3 linked regions of the Saccharomyces cerevisiae S288C genome follow. The gene in region 1 interacts genetically with each later gene. Each region holds a gene or a part of one and is shown on either strand. Other genes may lie near its edges.

Evidence for each region. Genes that interact genetically often act in the same process or in processes that back each other up.
Region 2: mutations in CAK1 (region 1) and CDC37 are lethal when combined (synthetic lethality), as found in Saccharomyces cerevisiae (2 studies listed by BioGRID, with this or other methods).
Region 3: mutations in CAK1 (region 1) and SSD1 together harm fitness more than expected from each alone (negative genetic interaction), as found in Saccharomyces cerevisiae (3 studies listed by BioGRID).

Annotation. Positions count from the first base shown.
Region 1 is NC_001138.5:77,534-80,800, reverse strand, and holds CAK1 (cyclin-dependent protein kinase-activating kinase CAK1), read left to right. Parts: upstream 1-1,639; coding exon 1,640-2,746; downstream 2,747-3,267. Other genes in the region: GTPase-activating protein GYP8, read left to right, coding at 1-382; putative ATP-binding cassette family ATPase CAF16, read left to right, coding at 588-1,457; AGX1 (alanine--glyoxylate transaminase), read right to left, coding at 2,813-3,267.
Region 2 is NC_001136.10:788,512-792,410, forward strand, and holds CDC37 (Hsp90 co-chaperone CDC37), read left to right. Parts: upstream 1-1,816; coding exon 1,817-3,337; downstream 3,338-3,899. Other genes in the region: exocyst subunit SEC5, read right to left, coding at 1-710; TAF10 (Taf10p), read left to right, coding at 938-1,558; STB3 (Stb3p), read right to left, coding at 3,837-3,899. UniProt on the Saccharomyces cerevisiae protein: Co-chaperone that binds to numerous kinases and promotes their interaction with the Hsp90 complex, resulting in stabilization and promotion of their activity.
Region 3 is NC_001136.10:1,045,078-1,051,187, forward strand, and holds SSD1 (mRNA-binding translational repressor SSD1), read right to left. Parts: upstream 4,316-6,110; coding exon 563-4,315; downstream 1-562. Other genes in the region: sphinganine-1-phosphate aldolase DPL1, read right to left, coding at 5,382-6,110. UniProt on the Saccharomyces cerevisiae protein: Can suppress the lethality due to deletion of SIT4, and partially the defects due to BCY1 disruption. Is implicated in the control of the cell cycle G1 phase.

The sequences.
Region 1 (3,267 bases):
ATGTGGAAAGCCAGGATGCTTCGATATGAGCACCATTATCTTCTATTTGAGCGAACAAACAAAGATGAACGAGCATTACAAGGAAGAAAAGTATCATGGTGTCGCCGCCAGATCCAAGACAAGGGCGTTGGTCCAAAGACTTGGCCATTTTTTACCCTCCAAATATAACAGGTGGAGCAAAATTTCTTTACTTATCGGGATTGTAGCTATCCTGTACCAATTACGGACTACAAGGTCGTTGAGTTTAGTACTCAATCTACGTTACATGATCTCCACAAAGTTGAAAGACTTATCACATATAAATATAAATTTGCACCACGTTAGTCACATCTGGGTGGATCCGATTAGGGACATTTTGAAACTGGGGCATCCAACTAGATAGCATACAATATACCTTATATACCCATGACATAGAAACAAACTCATATGTAAGGTATTATTATAAAGTGCTTCTTTAAAATTCGCTGCGGAAATTTCTTCGAGGATGACTCAAATAAGAAAAAACGAAAATTCTGAAAGAGAGATTTTTAGTATGGAGAAAACCAGTACTCCTGCATAAGATATCAAGATATTAGATAACTCTCAAGATGGTTTCCCAATTTGCTATTGAGGTGCGTAACCTAACGTACAAATTCAAAGAAAGCTCCGATCCGTCAGTTGTTGATATCAATCTTCAAATCCCATGGAATACAAGATCTTTAGTTGTGGGTGCCAATGGTGCTGGTAAATCCACCCTTTTGAAATTACTAAGCGGTAAGCATCTTTGCCTTGATGGAAAAATCCTGGTCAATGGTCTTGATCCATTCAGTCCATTATCTATGAATCAAGTGGACGATGATGAAAGTGTTGAAGATTCGACGAACTACCAAACGACCACTTATCTAGGTACGGAATGGTGCCATATGAGTATCATTAATAGGGATATCGGCGTCTTGGAACTATTAAAAAGTATTGGATTCGATCATTTTAGGGAAAGAGGTGAAAGATTGGTTAGAATCCTGGACATCGATGTACGTTGGAGAATGCACAGGTTAAGTGATGGACAAAAGAGAAGAGTTCAGTTAGCCATGGGGCTCTTGAAACCTTGGAGAGTTTTACTACTTGATGAGGTCACTGTGGATCTCGATGTTATTGCCAGAGCAAGACTTCTGGAGTTTTTAAAGTGGGAGACCGAAACCAGAAGATGCTCAGTGGTCTACGCTACACATATTTTTGACGGCTTGGCCAAATGGCCTAACCAAGTATACCATATGAAATCAGGTAAGATTGTGGATAATTTAGATTATCAGAAAGACGTAGAGTTCTCTGAAGTGGTCAATGCTAAAGTTAATGGACAAGTGGCCTTTGAAAATGACAACAATAAGGTTGTTATTAGTAAAGTGAATAGTTTGCATCCATTAGCACTAGAATGGTTGAAACGTGATAATCAAATTCCTGACAAAGAGATTGGTATATAACTGAGTATATATAACTGCAAAGACCCCCTGTATAGAAAATATGTATCTTAGTGGAAAATGTGATTTGACTATTTAAGTTATAGAAGTAGTTTGTGATCCTAAAAAAAGGAAAACGACAGAAGTCTCATAGAAGCAAAGAGGCCAGATGAAGAAGAGAGGCAACAAAATTCACGCCCATCTTAATGAAACTGGATAGTATAGACATTACACACTGTCAGTTGGTCAAATCTACTAGAACTGCTAGGATTTATAGGTCGGATACATATGCCATTAAATGTCTAGCACTAGATTTCGATATCCCGCCACATAACGCCAAATTCGAAGTATCGATATTAAACAAACTGGGCAACAAATGTAAGCACATCTTACCTCTTCTAGAGTCTAAGGCTACCGATAATAATGACCTATTGTTGTTGTTTCCCTTTGAAGAGATGAACCTTTATGAGTTCATGCAAATGCACTATAAAAGAGATAGAAGAAAAAAAAATCCCTATTACGATTTGCTAAATCCCAGTATCCCAATTGTTGCGGACCCCCCCGTTCAGAAATATACTAATCAATTGGACGTCAATCGGTATTCTTTGTCCTTTTTCCGGCAAATGGTTGAAGGGATTGCATTCTTACATGAGAACAAGATCATTCACCGCGACATCAAACCGCAAAATATCATGCTAACAAACAATACCAGCACCGTATCCCCAAAGTTGTACATAATTGATTTTGGCATCTCTTATGACATGGCAAATAACTCACAAACAAGTGCGGAACCCATGGATAGCAAGGTGACGGATATAAGCACAGGAATTTACAAGGCCCCAGAAGTGCTTTTTGGAGTAAAATGCTATGATGGTGGCGTGGACGTGTGGTCGTTGTTGATAATTATTTCTCAGTGGTTCCAGAGAGAAACAAGCCGTATGGGGCACGTTCCGGCCATGATTGATGACGGCAGCGACGACATGAACTCAGATGGAAGCGATTTCAGACTGATTTGCTCAATATTCGAAAAGTTGGGCATACCGTCCATTCAGAAATGGGAAGAGGTTGCGCAACACGGCTCGGTTGATGCATTTGTTGGTATGTTTGGTGCAGATGGCGATGGCAAGTATGTACTGGACCAGGAGAAAGATGTACAGATTAGCATTGTTGAGAGGAATATGCCTCGACTGGACGAGATTGCGGATGTCAAAGTCAAGCAGAAGTTCATTAATTGTATCCTGGGGATGGTTTCATTTTCACCAAACGAAAGATGGAGCTGTCAAAGAATCTTGCAAGAATTAGAAAAGCCATAATAAGAAGAATATATAGGTACATATATATATATATATATATATATGAAATGAAAAGTACGAGGGTAATCACTTTTTCCTCTGAAGAGCTAGTTTTATTAAGTCGAAGCAGTTCTTCATGTACGGTAAATTCTTGTTGCAAGCGGTCACACCCATATGTCCAATACGGATATACTTGGGTCCGATGTCCTTGTGAATACCTCCGGCAATGACTACACCGTGTGACTTTAAAAAAGCAATGACATCAGGAGGATCTGCTACGTATACGGCTGTCAACCCGTGCGCAGACATGTTAGAAGGATACCTACTGACGGATGTCAATTGCAAGCCATTAACCAAACTGTCTTTAAACCAATCACTCATTTCACGGTGCAAATCCCATCTCTTATGCAACCCCTCTTCGAGAATTTCTTTCAAGGCTACATCAAGGCTATTAATTAGTTGTACGGGTGGGGTTGCAAAATAAGCTCCTTTACCAGCCTCATAATTTTCCATTATTGGTGTCCATCTTCTCAACGAGGAAA
Region 2 (3,899 bases), on another chromosome or scaffold:
AAGTAAAACTTATTCAATTCAATAAATTTTTTGGTGGCCTGGTAATTCAAAATTTTCTGATAGTTATCCATTAGCGGTTTCAGTTTGAAAGTTGTTGTTCTAATAACCTCGTCGACCTTTTTATTTAAGCTTTCCACATTTATTTGATTTTCTTTTGGTGAATCACATTGGTTTTTTTCATTCGTTTTCTCGTCAAATTCTTTGTAAATTTGGTCTAACTTGTTTTTAATCTTAACATACTTGGTGAAATTTTTACCAACCAATTGTTTCAAATGTATAGATTGGTCTTGTATATCACTGTCCAACCTGTCCAGTGAGTTATTTAGATCATTGAAAGAGTCTTGTTTGTGCATATCTCTCAGAAAGGCTTTGACGTTGAATTGTTTACTGTTGACAAGATAGTTCAACCGCATTGAATCATTTGGTAGATGTTGCAATTCTTTAGACATTTCTTGTCCATTCAAGGGATCTCTAATATAACTTAACGACTCATCGTTTAAATATGCTCTCGATTCCTTGTCAATGCTAATTTGATTGCCATATTTGAAGTCTTTTAATATGTCGAATGACGTTTCAACGCCAAGTTCATTGCTTGTAGCCTCTTCATTATTCAATTTTGAGGAATCTTGGGCCCAGGAATGGGTCGGATTAATAGTCTTCAACTGATAAAAACGAAGTAGTTGCTCGTCGCCAATTTGAAACCTATCCATGGTACCAAACTTTTTTTCGCTACTTTATTTCAACAGAAACTTCTTTCCTAGTTTAGCAGCTTTAACGCAGCTTATTTTTGTTACTTTAGTTGAATAGTAGGAGTTGATACTTTTGTTTTTTCAAGTTGAAAACAGAAACGAAAAATTAAAGAAGCTGCAGATTCAGCATTCATGCCTAAGCTAAAAAGAACTGGCAGCGAAGAACAGAGGAAAGAATAACTGAAACTATGGATTTTGAGGAAGATTACGATGCGGAGTTTGATGATAATCAAGAAGGACAATTAGAAACACCTTTTCCATCGGTTGCGGGAGCCGATGATGGGGACAATGATAATGATGACTCTGTCGCAGAAAACATGAAGAAGAAGCAAAAGAGAGAGGCTGTAGTGGATGATGGGAGTGAAAATGCATTTGGTATACCCGAATTTACAAGAAAAGATAAGACTCTGGAGGAGATTCTAGAGATGATGGACAGTACTCCTCCTATCATTCCCGATGCAGTAATAGACTACTATTTAACCAAAAACGGGTTTAACGTAGCAGATGTACGAGTGAAACGACTTTTAGCACTTGCTACTCAGAAATTTGTTAGTGATATAGCTAAGGATGCCTACGAATATTCCAGGATCAGGTCTTCCGTAGCGGTATCTAATGCTAACAACAGTCAGGCGAGAGCTAGGCAGCTATTGCAAGGACAGCAACAGCCTGGCGTGCAGCAGATTTCACAACAACAACATCAACAGAATGAGAAGACTACAGCAAGCAAAGTTGTTCTGACGGTGAACGATCTCAGTAGCGCTGTTGCTGAATACGGGCTCAATATAGGTCGCCCAGACTTTTATCGTTAGTGGCTAACAAATGGAAATGAAATATGTATATAGTGTAGCAGTATGCAACTCTTTTAAATACACGATTCGTTATTAGATTGATTAGAGCACTTATTCACGCAAATTTGACACGCTTTTTGAACATCCGTTTTTCACGATTTTTTACTGAAGGATCATGAAAGATTGCCACATAAGAGAACACCTCCGTTGCACCAACACTTCATCACGATAAAAAAACTATCGAGCTATCGTACTACGGAACAACTACATAAGTCAAAAATGGCCATTGATTACTCTAAGTGGGATAAAATTGAACTATCAGATGATTCTGATGTCGAGGTGCATCCTAATGTGGACAAGAAATCGTTCATTAAATGGAAACAACAGAGTATCCATGAACAGCGATTCAAAAGGAACCAAGATATCAAAAATTTGGAGACACAAGTGGATATGTATTCTCATTTGAACAAACGAGTGGACAGAATTTTGAGTAATTTACCTGAAAGTTCTCTTACTGATTTGCCAGCCGTTACCAAATTCTTGAATGCAAATTTTGATAAGATGGAGAAAAGTAAAGGGGAAAATGTTGATCCTGAGATTGCAACATACAATGAAATGGTTGAAGATCTTTTTGAACAATTAGCAAAAGATTTAGACAAAGAGGGCAAAGACTCGAAGAGCCCATCTCTCATAAGGGATGCTATTTTGAAACATAGGGCTAAGATCGATTCAGTAACTGTAGAGGCTAAGAAGAAATTAGATGAATTATACAAGGAGAAAAATGCACACATTTCATCTGAAGACATTCATACAGGCTTTGATAGTAGCTTTATGAACAAGCAAAAGGGGGGGGCTAAGCCACTGGAAGCAACTCCTTCAGAAGCTCTTTCGAGCGCTGCAGAGTCTAATATTCTTAATAAACTAGCAAAATCATCAGTTCCGCAAACTTTCATCGATTTTAAAGATGATCCTATGAAACTGGCCAAGGAAACTGAAGAATTCGGTAAAATATCCATTAATGAGTACTCAAAATCTCAGAAATTCTTACTGGAGCACTTACCTATTATTTCAGAACAACAAAAGGACGCCTTAATGATGAAGGCCTTTGAGTATCAGTTACATGGTGACGATAAGATGACTTTGCAAGTCATTCATCAATCCGAATTGATGGCCTACATTAAGGAAATCTACGACATGAAGAAAATTCCATATTTAAATCCAATGGAACTATCAAATGTCATTAATATGTTTTTCGAGAAGGTTATCTTCAACAAGGACAAGCCAATGGGTAAAGAGTCTTTTTTGAGATCAGTTCAAGAAAAATTTTTGCACATTCAAAAACGTTCCAAAATTTTACAACAAGAGGAAATGGATGAATCGAATGCTGAAGGAGTAGAGACGATTCAATTGAAATCTCTAGATGATTCTACAGAATTAGAAGTAAACTTGCCAGACTTCAATTCTAAAGATCCAGAAGAGATGAAAAAGGTTAAAGTTTTCAAAACTTTAATACCGGAAAAAATGCAAGAAGCCATAATGACCAAAAATTTGGATAATATTAATAAAGTCTTTGAAGATATACCAATTGAAGAGGCTGAGAAACTTTTGGAAGTGTTTAATGACATTGACATTATTGGAATAAAAGCGATCTTAGAAAACGAGAAAGACTTTCAAAGTTTGAAAGATCAATACGAACAGGACCATGAAGACGCCACTATGGAGAATCTGTCCTTAAACGACCGTGATGGTGGCGGAGATAACCATGAAGAGGTCAAACATACTGCCGACACTGTTGACTAGAAATTTATGTAGCTATTTTACTGGTGCAGCGTGCATCTACTTCCTTTTTTATTGTTATTTTCATTTATACATAATACAAAAAAAAAAAAGAAGAAAATTAATGATCAATAAAGAAAATCGTGAAATTACAGCAGAGGTTTTGTACCTGCTTTCCTACGTTAGTACATAATATCTTATTTTTTATTAGTGCATGTTTTTCTCAGTGTGTGTTTTTGTAATTTGTATATACTACACAAAGAATCGGAAGGGTAAAATGTGAAAAATACTGGGTCTTTTGAAATATATTGAACGGGCTAATATATGAAATGAATATGAAAAGAAGAAAAAAATGTGACAAGAAAAAAGTGGTGACAAAAAAGACAAAATAATTATTCAGAGATGATAAACTTAAAGCAAAACTTGGTAACAAACTTTCATTAAAACAAAATATGTATTCTTTTTTCATTTTCATTTTTTTTTTACTGTTTTTTTGTTATTTCATGGAACTGGTAAAGAATTCTTAAGATTTTAAGCTCATTAATAAAAACGCAGCACTATTGTCTTCCCCATTTCTTGGCTGCTG
Region 3 (6,110 bases), on another chromosome or scaffold:
TTATTCAAACTGTGAGAATACCACAAATCTTTGGCTACAGATTAAACGCTGACGAAAAATTGGTTTATTTATTTCTATCTACTTATTGTACGACCTCAAATGTTTACGCAGTAGTTTCTGAAGTACGAGCAAAATTGCTCGACGATGATTTCGTTATTGTTTCCGGAAAAATTACCCAGCGCATAAAAAGTAAGCTTTCAGTACTTCTCTTTGATGATATTTGTACAGCAAAAGGGTATTTAGTAACGGAATAAATTTAATATATAAGAGTATAAATAACAAAAGACAATATAAATTGAAAAGTTGTAAATATTGAAAAGAAGGCTGCATTATTGTTTTATGTATTTTTGGGAAAAAATATATGACTTAACGAGGTCGAATAAAAAAATTTGGATGATGCCTTACCGGAACGTGGATTAAAAGGAGAAGTACAAAATTCATGCAGTTGTTAATGTTCGCAGGAAATAAAAACAAAGGGAAGGGATACTGAGGGGTGAAGCACAATCCAAAGAACGAAAGTGAAAAACAAGAAAAACAGCAATGACGATATTGGTAGAAGAGATTATACCCTCTTCATGAATGGATTTAATGCACGGACGGTTAAACATGGCAAAGCCATCCCCACCTCAGCTCTCAATAGAATAGGAATCTTTTGCAATTCATGTATTTCTTGTATATAGTTATCATTTTCAATTCTGGTTTCAGTAGTAGAAATGAATTTTTCTAAAGCATTTTGCTTGTTGTCGCTTGCAGATGGTAGCCTTAAATTTGGTACTGTTAGATGCAAATCGCTGAGTTCCTTACTCAATGGATCGCTGATCAATGGTTCAGATTCCGCTTCTTTATCTAGTTCAATATTCGCAATCTCAGCGGCTGTGGATCTGAATTTGTTCTTAATGGAATTTCTATAGGATTTTGGATTTTTTTCATCTGCTGGTATAAAAGTTGCACTATCTACGCCGGGCTGCCAATGCAATTCCAAGACACGATTGGTACCATCAAACTCAGCTTTGATCAAAGGTAGTTGATCTCCATGAACTCTCTTTTCAATACCAAATTCTGGAATAAATACATCAAAGGAGGACTCGTAAACTTGTAAGACAGTAGCCATTGTTAATAATTGTCCTGTAGTATTTCCCATGTCGTTGATTGTTTTACACAACAATAGATGAATTGCTTGTTCCTGTGCTTGATAAGCACAGTCCTTTTTAAAATTACAATATTCGGAGGTAATCTTCAAAGCTTCCATATCTTCGGTGTATGGAGTATCGTGGATAACGGCCTTTAATTGCCTATGAACGACATGATCAGCGTATCTTCTCATTGGCGCTGTGAAATGTGTGTAGATAGGTAGGTTCAAGGCATAATGCCCATATTGGTCCGGGTCTACTTTGCCAGCAATAAAGTATCTAGCTCTTGGCATGGTTTTAAACAGTAAAATTTCAATTCCGACTCTAACATCGTCATCTTTAATTTTTAGCACCCCTTTGATTAATTCATCCGCCGTATTGGTATCAAAATTGTAACCAAAATTTTGAATTTTCTTTCTAAATGACGCCATCTTGGTTGCAATGGGTTGCATCTGCCTTCTCAAAAGAGCTAGATCACCAAGTTTGGTGTAAATTTTCTCTGCAACAGTGGAGTTGACCTTTCTTTTAATCTCATTAATTACAACAAAGCCTAAAGTTCTATCCAGGATGTTCAAGTCAACCTTAACTTTTTCGTCATCCAAGCTTTCCAATAAGGACAGGGTGGGAAGTAATGTAGCTTCTGGATCATTTATTCTTCTAGCATAAAATGATCTAGCAATTTCCTGTACAGTAGAGAGGTAGCTAGTGGGACTTCCAGTAGATAATTTTTCGTCTAATTGTTCTAAAGACAAGATGTTTGAGGGGGAAATTGTAGATTCGCCTACCCAAGTAGATTTAATCCTTAAAGTAGATGAGTCTAGAGTGTAAACAACCGACAGCGTGGCTGATTCCTTGCCAGGGGCCAACGACAGTTCGTCGTTGAACGATTGTGGTAATAAATTGACAAGTTTTTGTGGCATGAACACCGCAGAGGACCTCTTTCTCGCACGCCTATCAACAGAGGAGCCTTCTTCAATATGGCTGGTCACATCAACAACATGACAACCCAGCTCTAGGGTACCATTTCCGTTATTCCTGACATGTAAGGCAAATTCAGACACCCATCCAAGCTCGGAAATTGCAAAGATATTGTACTCATTAGTGTCCGTAAAATTCCTCCTATATTCTAGACTTTCAGCCGTTAATGGTAGCGGCTGAAAACTTGGTTTTTCTTTTTGCGGATTTTTTTGATCCAAATATTCATTCGAAAGAAAATTGTTATCCCTTAAAATGGAATCAATTTCAGTATCAGGATCGTGAATATCTCCAAGTTCGGAAACTAAAATACCAAATGGATGCAAAGATGTGATTGGCCAACGTTTAATAGAGGCAACGAATAACTTTTCGGAGTATTTATCAGCGTTTTCAACAAAGTCCTTTGGAGCTAATTCTGTAGGAATTGCAATTAATGGCACCTTCTTATCAGTAGGCTTGAACCAAGCAATTTTTGGGCTTTGTGGTGGTTTGTTATTGTCGCTATTAGCTTGTTGGGATGGTCTCAACAAACCTAATGTACCGCTAAATAACTGACCAGGGATACGGTCCAAAACAGCAACGACATGGCCTGCGTAAAGTGGCTTATATTTATCGTTGATTTCTTCTTCTTCAACTAATAACAATGACTGACCTTCAACTTCAACATCGTCATTTTTCTTTTGAGTTGGACGTTGTTTCAATGAACTTCTTCTCCTTACTCCTGATTTGGTAGGAGATGATAAGGAATCACTATCATTATTGATAGTAGATGACCTCTTTCTTCTGACGGATAAATCATCCTTGCTTAGCGAATCAGACGAGGAGGGAGAAGATAGAAAATTGTTGCTTGTTGCAGCAGTAACAGATGCATCGTTGTGGTAATCGTCACTACTGTTCAAAGGAATTAGATCGTGTTGCATAGAGGCATCCTTTCTCCTCTTCTTTTCTTCCTTTTCTTTCTTGGACTCCCAAACATCGTCCACAACTAATAGTTCTACCGCGACTAAATCACCTTCAAGTGCTCTATTACGATCTTTGGAGCCGCAAATGTAAATATCCGCATCAAGAGCGCCATCTGTAGAGACCCAGGCATCCGATCTATTCTTTTTATTAACTCTTAATATACCAGCTACTAGTCTCCCTTCTTGGATTAGCTCTGGAATGTTGGCTTGGGGAAGGTAGGGTGCAAATAGGGACTTACGTCCACCTCCGTTATTATTACCTTGTGAACTGAAACTATGAACTGATGAATTAGAGGCACGATGTTTGTGTCCCTGCTGAAATATCGCAGGAGGTTCTAAGGTATTGAAGGAATTGTAATCCCTTGAATTAGATCCTCTGTGGCGGAATGGAGAAAGCTGCTGTTGAGGTTGCTGTGATTGGTTTCTCCAGTTGGAATTAATGCCTGGAGAATATTCATTGTTTCTTGTCTTTGAACGGCGGTGCGTTGAAGAGGTTGCTATGAATTCATCGTCATTATCCCCGTGAGAGTTTGGAGGAAATTTGAAAGAGGGAGGTGATAGGTTTGAAGTTGCGCGACGATGGCCCTGATGAGCATTTGGTGGTGGTGGAAATTTAAAATCAGATTGTTCTGTAGTAGAATTTGAGCCACTATCAGCTTGAACAGAATCTATCTTCACAGTTACGCCTGCTTCACCCCCAGATATTCTTTTAGCTTGTTCTTCCGCAGCAGCCTTTTTCGCTTCATTTAGACCTAAAGAATGTCTTCTGGAATGGCCATATATGCTGGATTGTGAACTCGTCTTTCTGTGTGAGTTAGACCCAGGATTATTGCTATTGTTATTGTTATCATATGAATTATGATAATATCCGGAGTTGTTCCTGGAGTGAGTTCTACTTCTGCTGCCACCTGCACTCATACCAGGTGAATTACCGTTTGAGTTGTAATGAGGGTGAGGCGGTTGAGGCGTGAAATGATTGTTAGAGCCAGAATTTCCTGACAGGTATTGTCCTGTCTGTTGTGCCAATTGCTGTTGCTGAGCCATCAACTGTTGCTGCTGTGCTTGAACTTGCTCCAACTGCTTCTGCAAAGTGAATTGTTCAATCATCAAATTTGTCAACTCACTTTGGGAACGTCTGTGTGCAACATGAATCTGCTTTGGGGCGTTTTTACCACCTCCTGTGGTTTGCACAAACATGTTATTTGGCTCTTGGGATCTATTGTTGTTAACGTTGCTATTTTTAGACATAGTGTATAAAGATGGAATAATTGGGCCAAATCTTTGCGCTGAAAGGTTTTTGGTGTTCTGTTTTGCGATATTAAAGTGACAAAGAAAAAGATGGAACTTGGCAAATACTATACGTTTATGAACCCTTGTCTTATTCTTCGTGCAGGCAACTTAGATTTCCCTTTGAAAAAAAGTTGTTTCTTTTAGAATAGTGGCTATGAAAAAAGTGCGCCTAATGCGGAAAAACGAGGCACCAGCTGTTCTAAAATAAGACCAAAATGTTTAGGGTACCAGAAAAATGGTATGGCGAAAATAAGCCTGGCAAGAAGACTATGCAGATAACTTTGACTATTCCGGTTTTTAGGTTACCAAAGACAGAAGAAAGGATCGGTCCCAAAAAAAGGAAATAGCTTATAAGGGAAGTTGCAGAAAATGCGCTTGAGTAACAAAAAATGTTAGAACGTAGCAAATATTCTAAAAGGAATGACAGAAAAACTTCTTACCTTTCTAAAATATAATCTCTCCTATTTCTCAGCTAGGCTCAAAATTATAATTTAGAAATTATTGTTTGCACGGCAAAACTTCGTTCCTTTGCTGTTAGAAAATCAGTCGGTGTTGGACTCTTCGTCTTTTAAATTCTTGACAAGAGAAGAGTTTTTAAATGAAAAGAACTAACGAGAAAAAACCAGGGGAAGGAGGGAAAGAGCGAAAATACTCGTGATCTAAACTCTTTTAGGTTAGTTTTCGTTGGAGGCAGTGGTCTTAAGACGATGGTGAAAGAAAGGACTTATTTGTAGAAGGATTGTTTATTTAATCCTTGAACTAAACAAATGACAAACTCAGGTCTCTAGCGTTCCTGTTCGTGGCCTTTAATAACTTGATGGCAATGGTAGAAAGACACACCTGCGTTATATAAGTTTAGTTTTCCCTTCTTTTCCTTTCTCATCCCCTCGTGAAGCGACTCGGCCCCTTTGGTCAGAAAATTCAAGGTGATACAAGTCGTCGTCCGTGACATAGGATCAGGAATCACAATCATCACATTGCACTCTCGTTCTTTAAATTATGTATGAGATTTGATTCTATATAGCTACTTGGTGGCGGTATCCTCTCCTGGACCCAACTTGTATAATGCGTCTAGGAATCCCACAATCAATTTGTCTGCAACGCCAGCAGTTTTAACGCTCCCGGCGACACCATATAGAGCGCTAGTTCCGTCTGGGGATGGTTTAGAATTTGATTCGCTCTTCAACTCTTGCACGGTAGTACGTAAAATGTCGCAGATCTCATCCACAACATGAGCGCTCAATCTCGTGAAGGCCATGTGTAGTGCAACCGGCTTTTGTAGGGCATTGAAATGCCAGCCTTTCTTGGACAACCTGTCAGATAGTTCGTGTATGTTCAAGGTCTTTGAAGAAAATGAAATGACTGAATATCTAGGGTTGCCCATTATATTCAGGTCTGGAATGTTTTCCTGGATGTATTTTTTAAACTTCATTGCTGCACCGACTATTTCTTGGCACGACTCAATGTACCCATTTTCACCCATGTTGACCATAGTGGCCCAACAACCTACGACAATAGCACCAGGCCTGGACCCTGCTAATGTAGGAGAGCCATATAACCCGCCAGTCCAAGCAGGATTTACGTAATACTGATGCATTCGTAAGTCGCTGTTTCTATACATTATAACTGACGAGCCTTTTGGTGCAAATCCATATTTATGAGTGTCACATGATATTGAGGTGACTCCCGGGACTCTAAAGTCAAGTAATGGCAGATTTTTGTAACCAGCCTTTTCCATAAATGAAACAATAAA